Arabidopsis thaliana: one gene and its partner. The protein of the gene in region 2 interacts with the protein of the main gene of each other region in a biochemical or structural test. Each region holds a gene or a part of one and is shown on either strand. Other genes may lie near its edges.

Region 1 (6,361 bases), on a different chromosome or scaffold from region 2:
CACCTGCTTCTTCCTTTACCTTTCCTCTCCTCCAACCGCCTTCTCTGTGTCCCAAACGTTGTTATAACACTGCCTTCTCTCCCAAGGCCTCATATATTTCTTCTCCAACCAATTTCCTTGTCTCGTCTCCGACCTTTCTTCACACCCATTCCTCTCTTTCCTCCTATCAGTCTACCAATCCGGTTTACTCCATGAAACATGAGCTCTCTTCAAACCAAATTCCATACTCTGCCTCTTTAGGAGTCTATCAAGTAAGCAAGTTCTCAGACAATGGGGATTGTAACCAAAACCTGAACACCGGTTTGCATACAAATACCTGTCAGCTGTTAGAGGATCTTATGGAGGAGGCCGAGGCTCTAGCTGATAGCTTTCGTGCTCCTAAGCGGAGACAAATCATGGCTGCGCTTGAGGACAACAACAACAACAACAACTTTTTCTCGGGAGGTTTCGGACATCGTGTTTCTTCCAACAGTCTATGTTCCTTGCAAGGTAATAATAATCAGACAACTCAAAATGCTTCAATCTGCAAAAACAAGTGTTTGAATTTTATTTTATTTTGATTGACACAGGTTTAACACCAAAGGAAGATGAGTCTCTCCAGATGAACACAATGCAAGATGAGGACATAACAAAGCTTCTTGACTGGGGAAGTGAAAGTGAAGAAATCTCAAACGGGCAATCCTCTGTGATAACAACAGAGAACAACCTTGTCCTTGACGATCACCAGTTCGCTTTTCTGTTTCCAGTTGATGATGACACCAACAACTTGCCAGGGATCTGCTAGAGAAAGACGAAACAACTAAATGGAAACATGTTCCTGATTGTACAATTAAAATCCTGAATATACCTGTCAAATATGTTATTAAAGCAATATGATCCTCATGTATAGAGATCTTAGCATTGTTCATCTGTTACATGCTAGTGGACATCCCAAATGATTCACCTGACTCTTTCCAAAACACTCAATTGCTGAACTAAGCATCTCCCGCAAGTGGAATATACCTGCCAGAAATCATTGTGTACACATTCCTCTTAACCAAGAAAAGTTTTTATTAAGCTTCTGAATTTCTTCTCATATGGTCTAATCTTTATTGACTAGTTTTGTGTTTCAAGTACACACATAAACAACCCATGTTTCACCACAATCATGGCAAAGGAAAAAATGAACAAAATAGGCAAAATCCAAAAAGAAATGAAGAAGAAAAGCTCAAAAGGCAGAGAAAACGCCTCAATGAAATGACTCTGAAGGTGCACTCATGGAGTCCGCCTTTGCAGCTAAAATCTGCATTTTCTGTGTGCAAAGAACTCCAGACCTTCAGAGAATTGAGAAAAGCATAAAGAAACAAGAAAGGAGGGCAAAAAGCACCCTTCTCATCTCAGTTCACAAGATACATACATACATACATACATACATACATATATAGAGAGAGTTTGACTGTGTGTCTATACTACCAAGTGTAGACTGTCGAGCGGATTTGTCTCTGTACTCTTCTTCCTCAATGTGTTTCTTTAGTTATTGTGTTCAGAAAGATGCAGCCAGAAGGGCCTTTTCACCTTCTCCACACCTACGATGAACATCCTTCATCCTATCCGCTGATCTACAAATCCCACTGCAGCTCCAATCGAACGAGGCAACACAGATGTTGCCCGCCTGCGCCTTCCACTCACAATCTGCAGTTTCTCATTGATCAACAAATGGAATCGAGAAAACTTCCATACTTGGACATAGATAAGGGAACTTGAATTTTTTTTACCTGTTGTACCACAACATAGCCTACGGTCATCTACATGCTCCACATCTAATCCAAGAAACCATGATCCTAAAGAGACATCTTCATTCACATATTTGTGAAGTACGTTTCTGTATACACAATTCGTCCTTGGTTAATACACAATCAGCGTATGAGCGTTTAAGCATAAAGCAGATTAATTTTTTGGATTGTCAAGGCAGTGGGAAATAACTCACTGGTTTATCGATATGTAAGACGCCAACTCCCTGGATATTGCATAGAGCTGACCTGTGGCATGGCGGAAGTATTTGTTACCCTCTTCTCCAAATTTCCAGTATTCGGGTTCATGATATCTCACTCCTCTAAAATTGGAAATTTCAGAGAGAGATGAAAGTGAGACAAACATTAAAAATGAGGAGTGGTCTCTTGAAGGAAGGTGAACAACTTACTTCTGAGCAAGAACAGGTCCAGATTTCATGCAACCAATGTACACTCGGGGCTTCATCCGGTATCTTGCTAATTCTGCTCCAAGCGTGGCTGCAGAAATATCCATGACAGAAGTGAGCAAAGGCACAAACTTGAGATGACAAGAAACAAAACAATTCAGATACTTTAAGAGAGTTTATATTCACCTATATTTACATGCACATCATCATCGACTTTGACGTAGAAGTCTGCATCCCACATTGCAAAAGCCGTGGTAAAGTAAGTTTTAGTCTTTGCTGACAGCTCGAGATAACCTTCAACATGATCCTGCTCAAACAAACATAAGAATTTAAAAACAGAAAGCCTGAATATCGGTAAAATGTGACTGCCGTGAACCTGCCCACAACAAGTATAATTCCATGAGAAAAATGACCCGCACAAGTCTTACCAGCCTCAAGAAGTCTCCATGTTTACTTTCTTCAGCCTGAATCGCTCTATCAAGAATTCCACCGGGAGTAGAACTGCCCACAGAAAACACTCAATCAGGAAATCTCTAACCGAATAAACCTCGCAAATAACGATTTTTGCCACTCTTATGGTACAAGTTTTACCTATGGCCTATCACAAACCGCATCACGATCCCTTTCTCTTCCTCGAGCTTCTTTCTCTCCTCACCTAAAGAAGACACATGTTTAGTCCCAGACAATATACTTAAGGCTGAAACCGCTGCTTAGATCAACATACCGGGAGGCATCCAAGTAGCACGGACTGAATCCCTGCGCTTTCTGCTGCTAAACGCAGTATTAACACCAACAACCATCAGATACTTTCTTTTAGTGACAGTTTCAGGGAGCTTAAAGTCATCAGAAACTGGTGAACCATTCATGATAGATTCTTGCGCAGCTCTTGCATCGGCCAGTTCTGTTTCCAGCTTTGAAATCGTTTTATCAAGCGTTCTACACAACACCATTGAAGCAAAACCAAAAAGTTCAATGCAAACCCGCATTCAAAGTCAAAAAGAAGTTCTAAATCATATGATTTCCACTTACTGAATTGCATCTGGACTCTTGTAAACATCTCCAAGGATGTCTTTCGATTCACGCTTTAAACCCTTCTGATAAACAGAAATAATGCTATGAAACTCAGGAATCAAAAACTCCTCTAGTGCTCATGACTATCAATTCACCTAAATTAGAAACTTACTTTTGATGAATCACAGTCCTCAGACTCTAACCGCAGCCGTTCATCTGATGCTACTGTGTCCCTTGATACAACATTGGATTCAGGCTCTGGCCACATTCTATTAACAAACACAGTCTGATTAGTCTACTATTAGACGATCAACAGCTTGCGATTGATTTTGGTTCTTCCATGAACTACTTTGTCCATAAAGAATATACTTTTGTCTATAAATAAATCTCAGGATGTACTTTTCGTTACCTTTGTGAAGAATTACAACCTTTCCAATAGTGAATGAAATTAAAAAATTTGCGAAACAAGAAAATTTAATCACACTTTCCCGGAAAAAATTGGACCCAAAACTTTCACAGCATGAATTTTCACGAAAAGTCGTTAGATTTACAAATCTGGGTGTTTCGAAAATGAGATAATTTTACCCACCGACAGTCCTAAAAGAGATAAAAAAAATTCCCGGGAAAATCGTATAACTGAAGAAATAAGAAAAGAATAAGTGAGTTCATTAGAGAGCATTGTTTTGTTACCTGTCGGAGAAGAGAATTCCTGCGCAGAAGAAACCGATACAGAGAAATAAAGTCCATTTCTTTGAGACAAAACTCTTCGAAGCAGAGAGCTCTAATCCTCTGTGATGATGCTTCAACGACATCTTTTTGTGCGTGTTTCTAAGCGAAACTATAAGAATCTATTGAACCCAGAAAGACAGACTCTCAAAGAGATACTAATAAACGAGAGACATCCATCTCACGAGACGACTTGTCCCGAGTCAAAACCGAGTCAACCCCAAACCAAACCAAACCCCAGATCCAGAAGATCGAGACTTTTCTCCTCGGAAACGAGAATGTAAACAGAGAAAGTATAGATCGTGATATTAGATTGATCCTATGAAAAGACGAATGTATGTGGAAAACGACAAGAGAGAAAAGCCGTGGCTTTGTGTCTTTGCCTTTGGTGCGTGGAATTCGAAGCTGGAAGAAGATGAATCGAATCTTATTTAGTTGCGATTTTAGTGTTGGGCTAATTAAAATTATATTATTATTTTTGCTTTATTAGTTAATTTTCACTTTACAGTAATAATATCAAGTAGATTGGATTAAGAGAAACTAATTAAAATTGAAGCTACCGACAGGACCACTCTACGCATAAATTTTGACCAACTAACCTTTGTCAAAACTCTAAACCAATAAACAAATCAAATTAGTTAGTTTTTAGGCAAAATATTAGGTGAATTTTGTCTTTCTTATAGAAATTTAGAGTAACCAGCTACATAAATATGAACTTTTATGTGTGTTTACTGTAGTTTTAAGAAAATCTCAACATGGTACGAAAGTTAAAACTCAATTTGCTCTCTCACATGCATGGTTCACAAAGCTGTCGAAGAATGGCGACAAAGGGAATCAACATTGACCACGTGTTCAGCACATGATCCTCAATCAACGATTTCCAACTTACAAACAACTCACCTCTACTTTTTTCAGATTCCTTTTTTTTTTCTTAATTAAGATCAATAGTCTTTATCATCGACGGTTCGAATCGTGTAACTCAATGAATCTTAAGCTCATACAATCTTTACTTGCAAGTCTTTTTTCACAACCTAACTTTAGGTTAAGAAAAAATTAATCTTATAACATTCATTTTCAACAATAGTTTTATTTTTGCCAAATCAAATCACCTACTATTTATTAAAACCAAAAGAAAAAAAAAATTCACCTATATCTGTATTATTGTTTTACTATGCCAAATCAAATCACCTATATTAAAAACCAAACGAATAAAAAAAGCCCCACCTATATATATACATCTTACCAAACTAGAGTTTTTAAGAAATGAAATCACCTCTAATAACTAAGGTAAATATCTAAGCATTCGGTTCATACATATCTTAACATTTATACAATCTTGGTCTACTCAAGAAATCCAGTTTGCTTCAATATTGCATTCCTTACTTTGCTCAAATCTCTTCCTTTCAGTTTTCTTCCAACTCCTTCCATAACTGAAGACGACGATGATGATCGACTGCGCCGCAGGAAATATTCCTCCGGTGACACATTCTCATCATCAACAACTTTCTTTGTCTTCTTTCTTTGAACCATTGACCAATCAGGGACATTGACAGGGACCGACTGTTGTCTCATAGGTGCCATTCCTTCTGTCCTCTGCCTCTCAGGAATCATTCTAGGTTCGCTTGGAAGTAAAGTTTGGGTTGAGAAAGAAGGTTTAGTCGTATGGTTACTACTAATCATAAACGGTGATTGATATCCATCAAGAACATCCCACACATCATCTTCTTGAAAATCTCCATCTCCCCATAGCTCATGCTTCATGTAGCTCTTCTCCATTGATACTCACCTGCTTCTACAAAACATAACATGACGACCAAGAAAGATCTTCGATTAAACAAAAACTCTGAGCTAGCCAGTAGTCACAAAATCGCAAAAGAGACAAGAATGTAAGAGAGAATCTACGTACGAACGTACCTTTTGACGTTTGATTAAAATGAAGCTTAAAATAATATTCTGAGATTATAAAGAGTGGAATCTGTGCCAAGAGAAGCAAAATAGCTTCAAATTTTGAGAAGAGAAAGGAAGAAAGTGACACAAGAGGTGTGGGATTGAAGAACGAATACGTAGATTGGTTCTTATTTTGTCTTTATAGATATGATCCAAAGACGTGGGAATCTATATTCATTATTCGTTCGCTCATTTATTATGATCATCAGTATTTGTTGCGTTCTGTCATAGTGATGAGTTTTAAAGGTCAAAAAAAGTACACTACATTGCTACACTAAAGGCTAAAGCATATGTAGCCAATTTTACTTTTAGTTTCTTTCATCACGGAAAGTAATTAATCATCATGAATTAAATTTACTCTGCAAGTTTTATATTAGAAAAATGGGTACCACATTCGATATATGTTACTGATTAGTGTCGATATATCACTTTTCACAGATTCATCCCCTTGAAAGATCGAAAATGTGGAGCCTGTGGCTTGACAAAGGTCCAATTCAGACG
Region 2 (6,893 bases):
TTGAGGAAACTCTATTTTATACGTGACTATTGGTGCACAATGCCTCTAAAATATAATCACCTCTAAAATAAAAAAAATTATAGTGGTCACTTTTTCAAAATATTTAGAAGTTGCATATCCGAAAGCATGCAACTTCTAAATATTTTGAAAAAGTGACCACTATAATTTTTTCTATTTTAGAGGTGATTATATTTTAACCTATATTCTCCTCCATATTCTCCTTTTATATTTTGAAAAAGTGACCACAGTTTTTGACCTATATTCTCCTCCATATCCAAAAACAACCGTTTGATAATACCGTTGTTAATGTGTTAATCATTTCTTTCAATTAGAATGGAACTATTGAAATTTGAAAACTCTAAATTACTAGACAACCACCTACTTGATTCACATCAACAAGTATAAATTCACACATACTAATGAAGTAACACATTGAAATATATTCTCTTTTGTGGTTTGAAATACTATTCTCACAAAAAAAAATATTCTACTCACGAATGTATAGTCTTATAGTGTTAGATGTTCATAGGCCTGAAGGAGAAAGAGTCATTATGGGCCTAATGTTTCTATATTCTAAATAGTTCTTTATGGCCCAAATATAATTTTGAAACTTCAGTTGTTGAGCCCATTTGTATGTTCTCTATCCAAAGCCTAATCGTGTGTATTCGAGCGTTTAATAAAGAACAATTTTTTTTTTTTTTTTTTTCTAATACCAGGAAGTTCTGGGCCAATGTCGGTAATCCTTTCATGCACGAAACCACATCGTGTAATATTAGTTTCGTTTCAAGCGTTACTCAAATCGGCGTTCTCTAAGCTTCGTTTACGGTCTTTACCAATTGAGCTAACGACACTCGGTAATAAAGAACAATTCACCAACTAAGACTCTGATTTGTTATAATCTGCATAGTTATTTATTAAAGGAATCAGAATTTAAATTACATTAATTAAGTCTTGATACATCATGAAATTTTAATCATTGATCAACCACACATACACATTCTCACAGGAAAAAAAAATGCATTGAAAAAGCCAGAAAAACAAAAAAAAACAGAGATCTTCATGTTGTTACAAGCTGTTACTGTGACTGTGACTATTATTTTCACTTCCACGAAGTTCTCTCAACGAAGCAACAACTTGTAACATATTAGGTCTCTTTGATGGGAAATCGTCAACGCACCGTAACGCTATCTCCAAATACCTCAACATTTCTTTCACAATCACTCCTCCTTCAAAACCTTCTTTCTCATTCAGAGACTCCGAAGAACCTTCTTTTAGAAGGTCTTCATCAATCACTTCCATGTGTTTCCCTTCTCTTGCCTTCATCTTCGACCAACCTACTAAATTCGTATCACCAAACTCTTCTTTATCCGTTGGTCTTTTCCCGCTTAAGATCTCGAGCATCACTACTCCGATTGAGTACACGTCGCCTTTTGCGGTACATCTGAAACTTTGGTAATACTCTGGTGGTACGTAACCTGGCGTGCCTGCCAAGGTACTTACACTCAAATGTGTGTCTAATGCGCTGATCAGTCTCGCCATTCCGAAATCTGAAACTCTTGCTTCCATGTCTTGATCGAGAAGCACGTTGCTCGATTTCATGTCGCGGTGGATTATGTGAGGGATACAATTGTGATGCAAGAAACAAAGTCCTTTTGCTGCTCCTTTTGCAATCTTTTTCCTCTCTTCCCAACCTAAAATCCTCCGTTTTTCGCCTGTTCTTGGTCCGTGAAGCACCTCCTCGAGGCTTCCGTATTGCATAAACTCGTAAACAAGCAATCTCTCTTCCCCGATTTTACAGTATCCCAAGAGCGGTACGAGGTTTCGGTGTTTGATCTTCCCTAAGGTTTCCATTTCTGCCATGAACTCTCGATCTCCTTGACAACTAAGTCTAATGAGCTTCTTGATCGCCACGGAAGACCCGTCTTTAAGCGTCGCCTTAAAAACCTCACCGAATCCGCCGTGTCCGATCATACTCGCGGCTGAGAATCCGTTTGTCGCCTCGATAAGCTGCGAAAACTTAAGCTTTCTCAACTGTCGCTGAAACGTCGCTACATTAATACTCAACGGCTCTTTCTCCTTCTCTATCTTCCATGTAGTGGCGGAATTAACCGCCTGCAAACTGTGAAGCATCTTCGCATCATCCGCATCTCTCCTCCTCGCACGAACCGCAATCGCCCAAACGATTAAAATACAAACCGAAGCAGCGGAAATCAACACTCCCAAAACAATGCTATTCGCCCAAGAAGCTGCCCTAGTTCCGTGCTTAGCACGTTTCCCTTCCTCTGTTCCAGCAGGAAGCTGATTGTTTCCATTCTTACATTCCGGTAAAGGAACACCGCAAAGCCCCGGATTATTCGCGTACTGAGTCGCCGGAAGCGTGCTTAACTGACCTCTCTGAGGAATCGGACCAGTTAACTCGTTATTCGACAAATCAATCTGCACCAAGAAAGACAAATTCGAGAAAGATTCAGGGATTTGACCCTGCAACCGATTATCCGAAGCATCGAAAACACCGAGATTCTTGAGCTGACCAATCGTAAACGGAATCTCGCCGGAGAGTTGATTATGAGAAAGCTCAAGAACTTGAAGAGCAATCATTTCTCCAATCTCATCAGGGATTTTACCTCTAAGCTGATTATAAGAAAGATCAAGATACTCAATGGTTTGATATCTTGTGAATAGACTCAAAATTGGACCTGAATACATTCTTGTGAAGTCACAGCTTTTAAGAGATGGAATCTGAAGAAGCCTCTCTGGTCTGATCCCTGAGAACTCAACCAAACCTCCAACACCTTTACATGAGTTTCCAACGTTTCTAACAAAAGCCATTGTGTTTCCTGAGAGTAAACCGGAAAGTGCTTTTGAACCGGGTTGACGACCTAACCGGGGAGGGATTTCACCGGTTAAGTGGTTTGTGTTAAGATCAAGCCAAACCAGAGTTGTGCATTTTCCTAGCTCCGGTGGGATTTCTCCGGTGAAATTGTTGTTACCGAGCTGAAGAACGGCTAACCGGGAAAGGATTCCGAAATCTTTAGGCACTTCTCCGGTTAATCTGTTGCTTGTGAATGAGACCCATTCGATGTTACTGCAATTGAAAAATTCCGGTGGGATTTCTCCGGTGAGTTGATTGTTGTTGAGGATCAAATCTTTTAGGTTTTGTAGTTTTCCGATCTCCGGTGGGATTTCTCCGGCGATGTTGTTGTACCAAGCTATGAATTGCTCGAGTTTCTGGAGGTTTCCGATCTCCGGTGGGATTGTACCGTTGAGATAATTGAGACTGAGATCAATCGTTCGTAGCTCAGAGCATTGAGATATCGCCGGTGGAATCTCTCCGGTGACGAGATTATCCGGGAGTCTTAGCTCTTCTAATGAAGCTGCTCCGGGACATAAATCCGGTGGAATCACACCGGAGAATCGATTCGAGCTGAAGTCAGCGATTCTCAAGCTCTTACAAGCAGAGATTGAAGTCGGAAAGTCACCGGAGATTAAGTTGTTGCTGAGAAGTAAGATTTGAAGAGATCCAAAACTCCGGAGGATAGTGTTCGGAAACGGACCGGAGATGTTGTTGTTTGAAAGGTCAAGACTTTGTAGCCAAGAACATGAGGACAACGACTCAGGGATCACACCAGTGAAGTTGTTGTAAGAAAGCCGGAGGTTTTGTAATGACCGGCAAGTATCTCCGATCTCCGGCGGGATCCAACCGGTGAGTCGGTTATGAGAAAGATCCAAACTTTGTAAGAGTTTAAGCTCACCGAAAGATTTTGGAATCTGCCCATCGAAGTTGTTGTAAGAAAGATTCAAGCTTTTGAGGTTGGTGCAGTTGATGAGTGAGTCAGAGATATAGCCGGAGATACTGTTACCGGAGAAATCGAGATAGGTCATGGAGACGCAAGAAGAAAGAGGAATGGTTAAACCGGAGATTGGACCGGTAATGTTGTTGTAAGAAAGATCAAGGGTTTGGAGTTTCTTGCTGCTTAAGAAAAGATCATTAGGTAACTTTCCGGTGAAGTTATTGTAAGAGAGGGTGATGGAAATAAGATTTGAGTATTTGGAGAAGAAATTTTCAGGGAGGGTTCCGATTAAACCGGAGGAAGAGAGTTCGAGATGAGTTAGGGTTAAAGGAAGAAGAAGAAGAGAGGTTGAGTTTAAGACGAAGAAGTTCTCTGAGAGTTTGAGAACAGAGAGAGAATCAAGAGAGGTGAAAGCATTGAAGGAGACGATTCCGGAGAGGCCACTACCGGAGAGATTAATCTCGGTGACTCTTCCTCCGAGACAAGTGACGCCGGAGAATTGACAAGGGGATTTACGAGGTGACCAGTTTGAGAGAATGTTGTTTGGATCATCTTGGATCATTGTTTTGAAAGAGAGGAGTGATAATGAGTCGGTTTTGAGTGAAGATTGGTCGGAGGAGGAAGATTGTGAGAGATGGGTAAGGAGGAAGATGAAGGAGATTTGGATCCGAGTCCGGATCCGAACCCGGATTGGTGAAGTAGTCATTGGAGGGAGGTTTTTTGAGTTTGAATGGAGAAGGAGAAGTAAGTAAGTTGAAACATTTAGATGATAAAGAGACGATGCTAAAGCAGAGGAAGAAAAAGGGCTTTTTTTGAAGAAAAGAAAAAGCTGCTTTTAGGTAATTTATTAAGTTTTATTAATTGTTGATGCTTATTATTTTTAAAACATCTTTGTCGAATCGTTTTTTTTTACATATGATGTTTTTCTAATAGATGATTGATTTATTAAATGGTTATGATCAATCTTATGATTTTGTGGAATTGTGATCATGACTTGTAGTGATTTGTGTAAGTGACATTATTAATCTAATAGAATACATGTTGTTTGATAATCAAAAAAATTAAGTTCAGTTTATAGAATAAAACTCTAATATTTAGAAAAATATGTTTTCAGTTTCATTTAGTCCTATATCTATTTGTTTCTAATGGTTTCATAATTTTAATTCATTAAAGCTCCATGTGGGGATTTTGAACCTTAGAAAGAATTATGATCACTGCTAATTTTCTAAATGGGAATTGTATCTATGAGATGTTTCACAAATTTCAATGAAGAAAAAGTGTAGTATTATATAAACTTCCATTTAAAAATTTAGCTATATACTATTGTTGTATAACATTTCTTAAAATGATTTAAATATTAGTTGTATAACATTTCTTAAAATAATTTAAATATTAGATGACAAGCAACTAGATCTAATAAGAGTCGGAAGGAATTGTCCGTTGTAGAATCGTCTATGTAACAGTGCAATAAATAATAAATCTAAGACTGGCAAAAAAAAATAATTGACAAGCAACTGAATATGAATATAGTTAGTGATATAGTGACAACACTAATAAAAACGAACATAATAGAAATTCTAGTCTATAATCACATCAAGTTTGGAATTTTGGGATAATTTGTTTTGTTTTTGTTGTGTATTGTATTAATACTTTATTTAAAAAAAAAACAAAACCTTTTACAAAAGAATGGCAATTATATTGAAAGGAATTTTGGGAGAAATTATTCCAAACCGATATACAAATATTTCATATGGTGGGGTGTGTGGTCAAAATAATTGGGACCCAATTTAGTCATAATATGCATCGCATATGAAATGGTCTTTTGTAAAATTTGGTTGATCCAATGTTCACTGTCGAGGCAGAGGCGTGGGGGAATGAACAGAGAAGTGACTTTACAAATTACAATAACAAACTTTAAGGTGTAACCATAATGTTGCTCACTTCTTTTTCCATTTTTATGTGATTTTAATTAGTTTAGTTTCATATAATATGCCATAGATGAGCCTTTATATCATGTTCCATGTCACACACTCCATCCTTTTCATCATTACACTGCCTTCTTCCACCAAGTTTATGAGTAGATTTGTATGACTTAAGCAAAATATTAGCTTGATTATTTCAGCCAACGAGAAAATGCTATTTTGAAATGTTCATTGATAAATAATCATATACACATATTAAAGAAAAAAATATACACAAGTCATATTTTAAAATGTTTCAATTGGTTATACCCTAGCTACCATTCAATTGCACAAGAGACTATTTCTTTAAGATCAATAGTTTCTAGTAAGAAATAATTATTCTTAGAACATTTTTCCATTGCAATTAATAGTGCAAATCTTATCACCTATAGTGTGATTTTGTGTGTTATAAATTTGTAATATATCATACTGTTGAAGACTATAGAGTATATTTTATTGATTCTGTTTAATAAATAAAGGACCGAATAGTGGAGAGTAATAGAGAAAAAGCCCCACAAAAGAAACAACATCAATTAGCTCGTGGTTTAGTGGCATGAGAGGTTATGATTCCTTTGGCCCCAATATTTTTAAATAATTCTTTATGTAAATTCTTCTTTTCACTACCACTAATCCTTATATCTGTTTTGTATGAATTTTGTTCTGTATTCTCTTGAACGTCAAGTTATTTGACCGCTCAACAAGTAATTCCAATCGAAATCAGACTAATTTGCAATTTTGTATGAGTAGTGAGTAAATACAGTATACCACAAAGATTGACTTCTCCCCATGGCCATAAAGAATCAACATTGAAAAATATTCGGTAAACGTTTTAGACTTTTAGTTATTTTTTTTTGTCCAAAGTGTGTAGTATTTGAATTCTATTTGCATGTGAGTTTTAGTGTGGAATCACTAAGTATTTGATGTGTTTACGAGTGAATTACTTTGACGATTCAAGTTGGTTTAATAGTGTGTTGTTTGAGGATTCATTCTATTAGATATGTGTATATAGTTAGTTGATTGTATATAGTATAGTTGACATTTACATGTGCGTATTGATACTTGTATATATAGTTCATTGTACACATACTTTACAATTAATGAGAATCAGAAGTTATTTAGCTAAGATCTTAATACATTAAAA

Evidence for each region.
Region 1: the proteins of BRL2 (region 2) and AT4G26940 form a complex in vitro, tested with the Arabidopsis thaliana proteins (one study listed by BioGRID).

What each region holds. Positions count from the first base shown.
Region 1 is NC_003075.7:13,528,389-13,534,749, forward strand, and holds AT4G26940 (Galactosyltransferase family protein), read right to left. Parts: upstream 4,368-6,361; 5' UTR 4,000-4,367; coding exon 3,878-3,999; intron 3,457-3,877; coding exon 3,360-3,456; intron 3,271-3,359; coding exon 3,206-3,270; intron 3,113-3,205; coding exon 2,901-3,112; intron 2,832-2,900; coding exon 2,768-2,831; intron 2,678-2,767; coding exon 2,605-2,677; intron 2,484-2,604; coding exon 2,363-2,483; intron 2,268-2,362; coding exon 2,180-2,267; intron 2,093-2,179; coding exon 1,967-2,092; intron 1,862-1,966; coding exon 1,755-1,861; intron 1,672-1,754; coding exon 1,523-1,671; 3' UTR 872-1,522; downstream 1-871. Other genes in the region: MYB97 (myb domain protein 97), read left to right, coding at 1-489, 570-784; AT4G26950 (senescence regulator (Protein of unknown function, DUF584)), read right to left, coding at 5,255-5,689. UniProt on the Arabidopsis thaliana protein: Beta-1,3-galactosyltransferase that transfers galactose from UDP-galactose to substrates with a terminal glycosyl residue.
Region 2 is NC_003071.7:439,740-446,632, forward strand, and holds BRL2 (BRI1-like 2), read right to left. Parts: upstream 4,586-6,893; 5' UTR 4,498-4,585; coding exon 1,066-4,497; 3' UTR 885-1,065; downstream 1-884. UniProt on the Arabidopsis thaliana protein: Receptor with a serine/threonine-protein kinase activity, which may transduce extracellular spatial and temporal signals into downstream cell differentiation responses in provascular and procambial cells.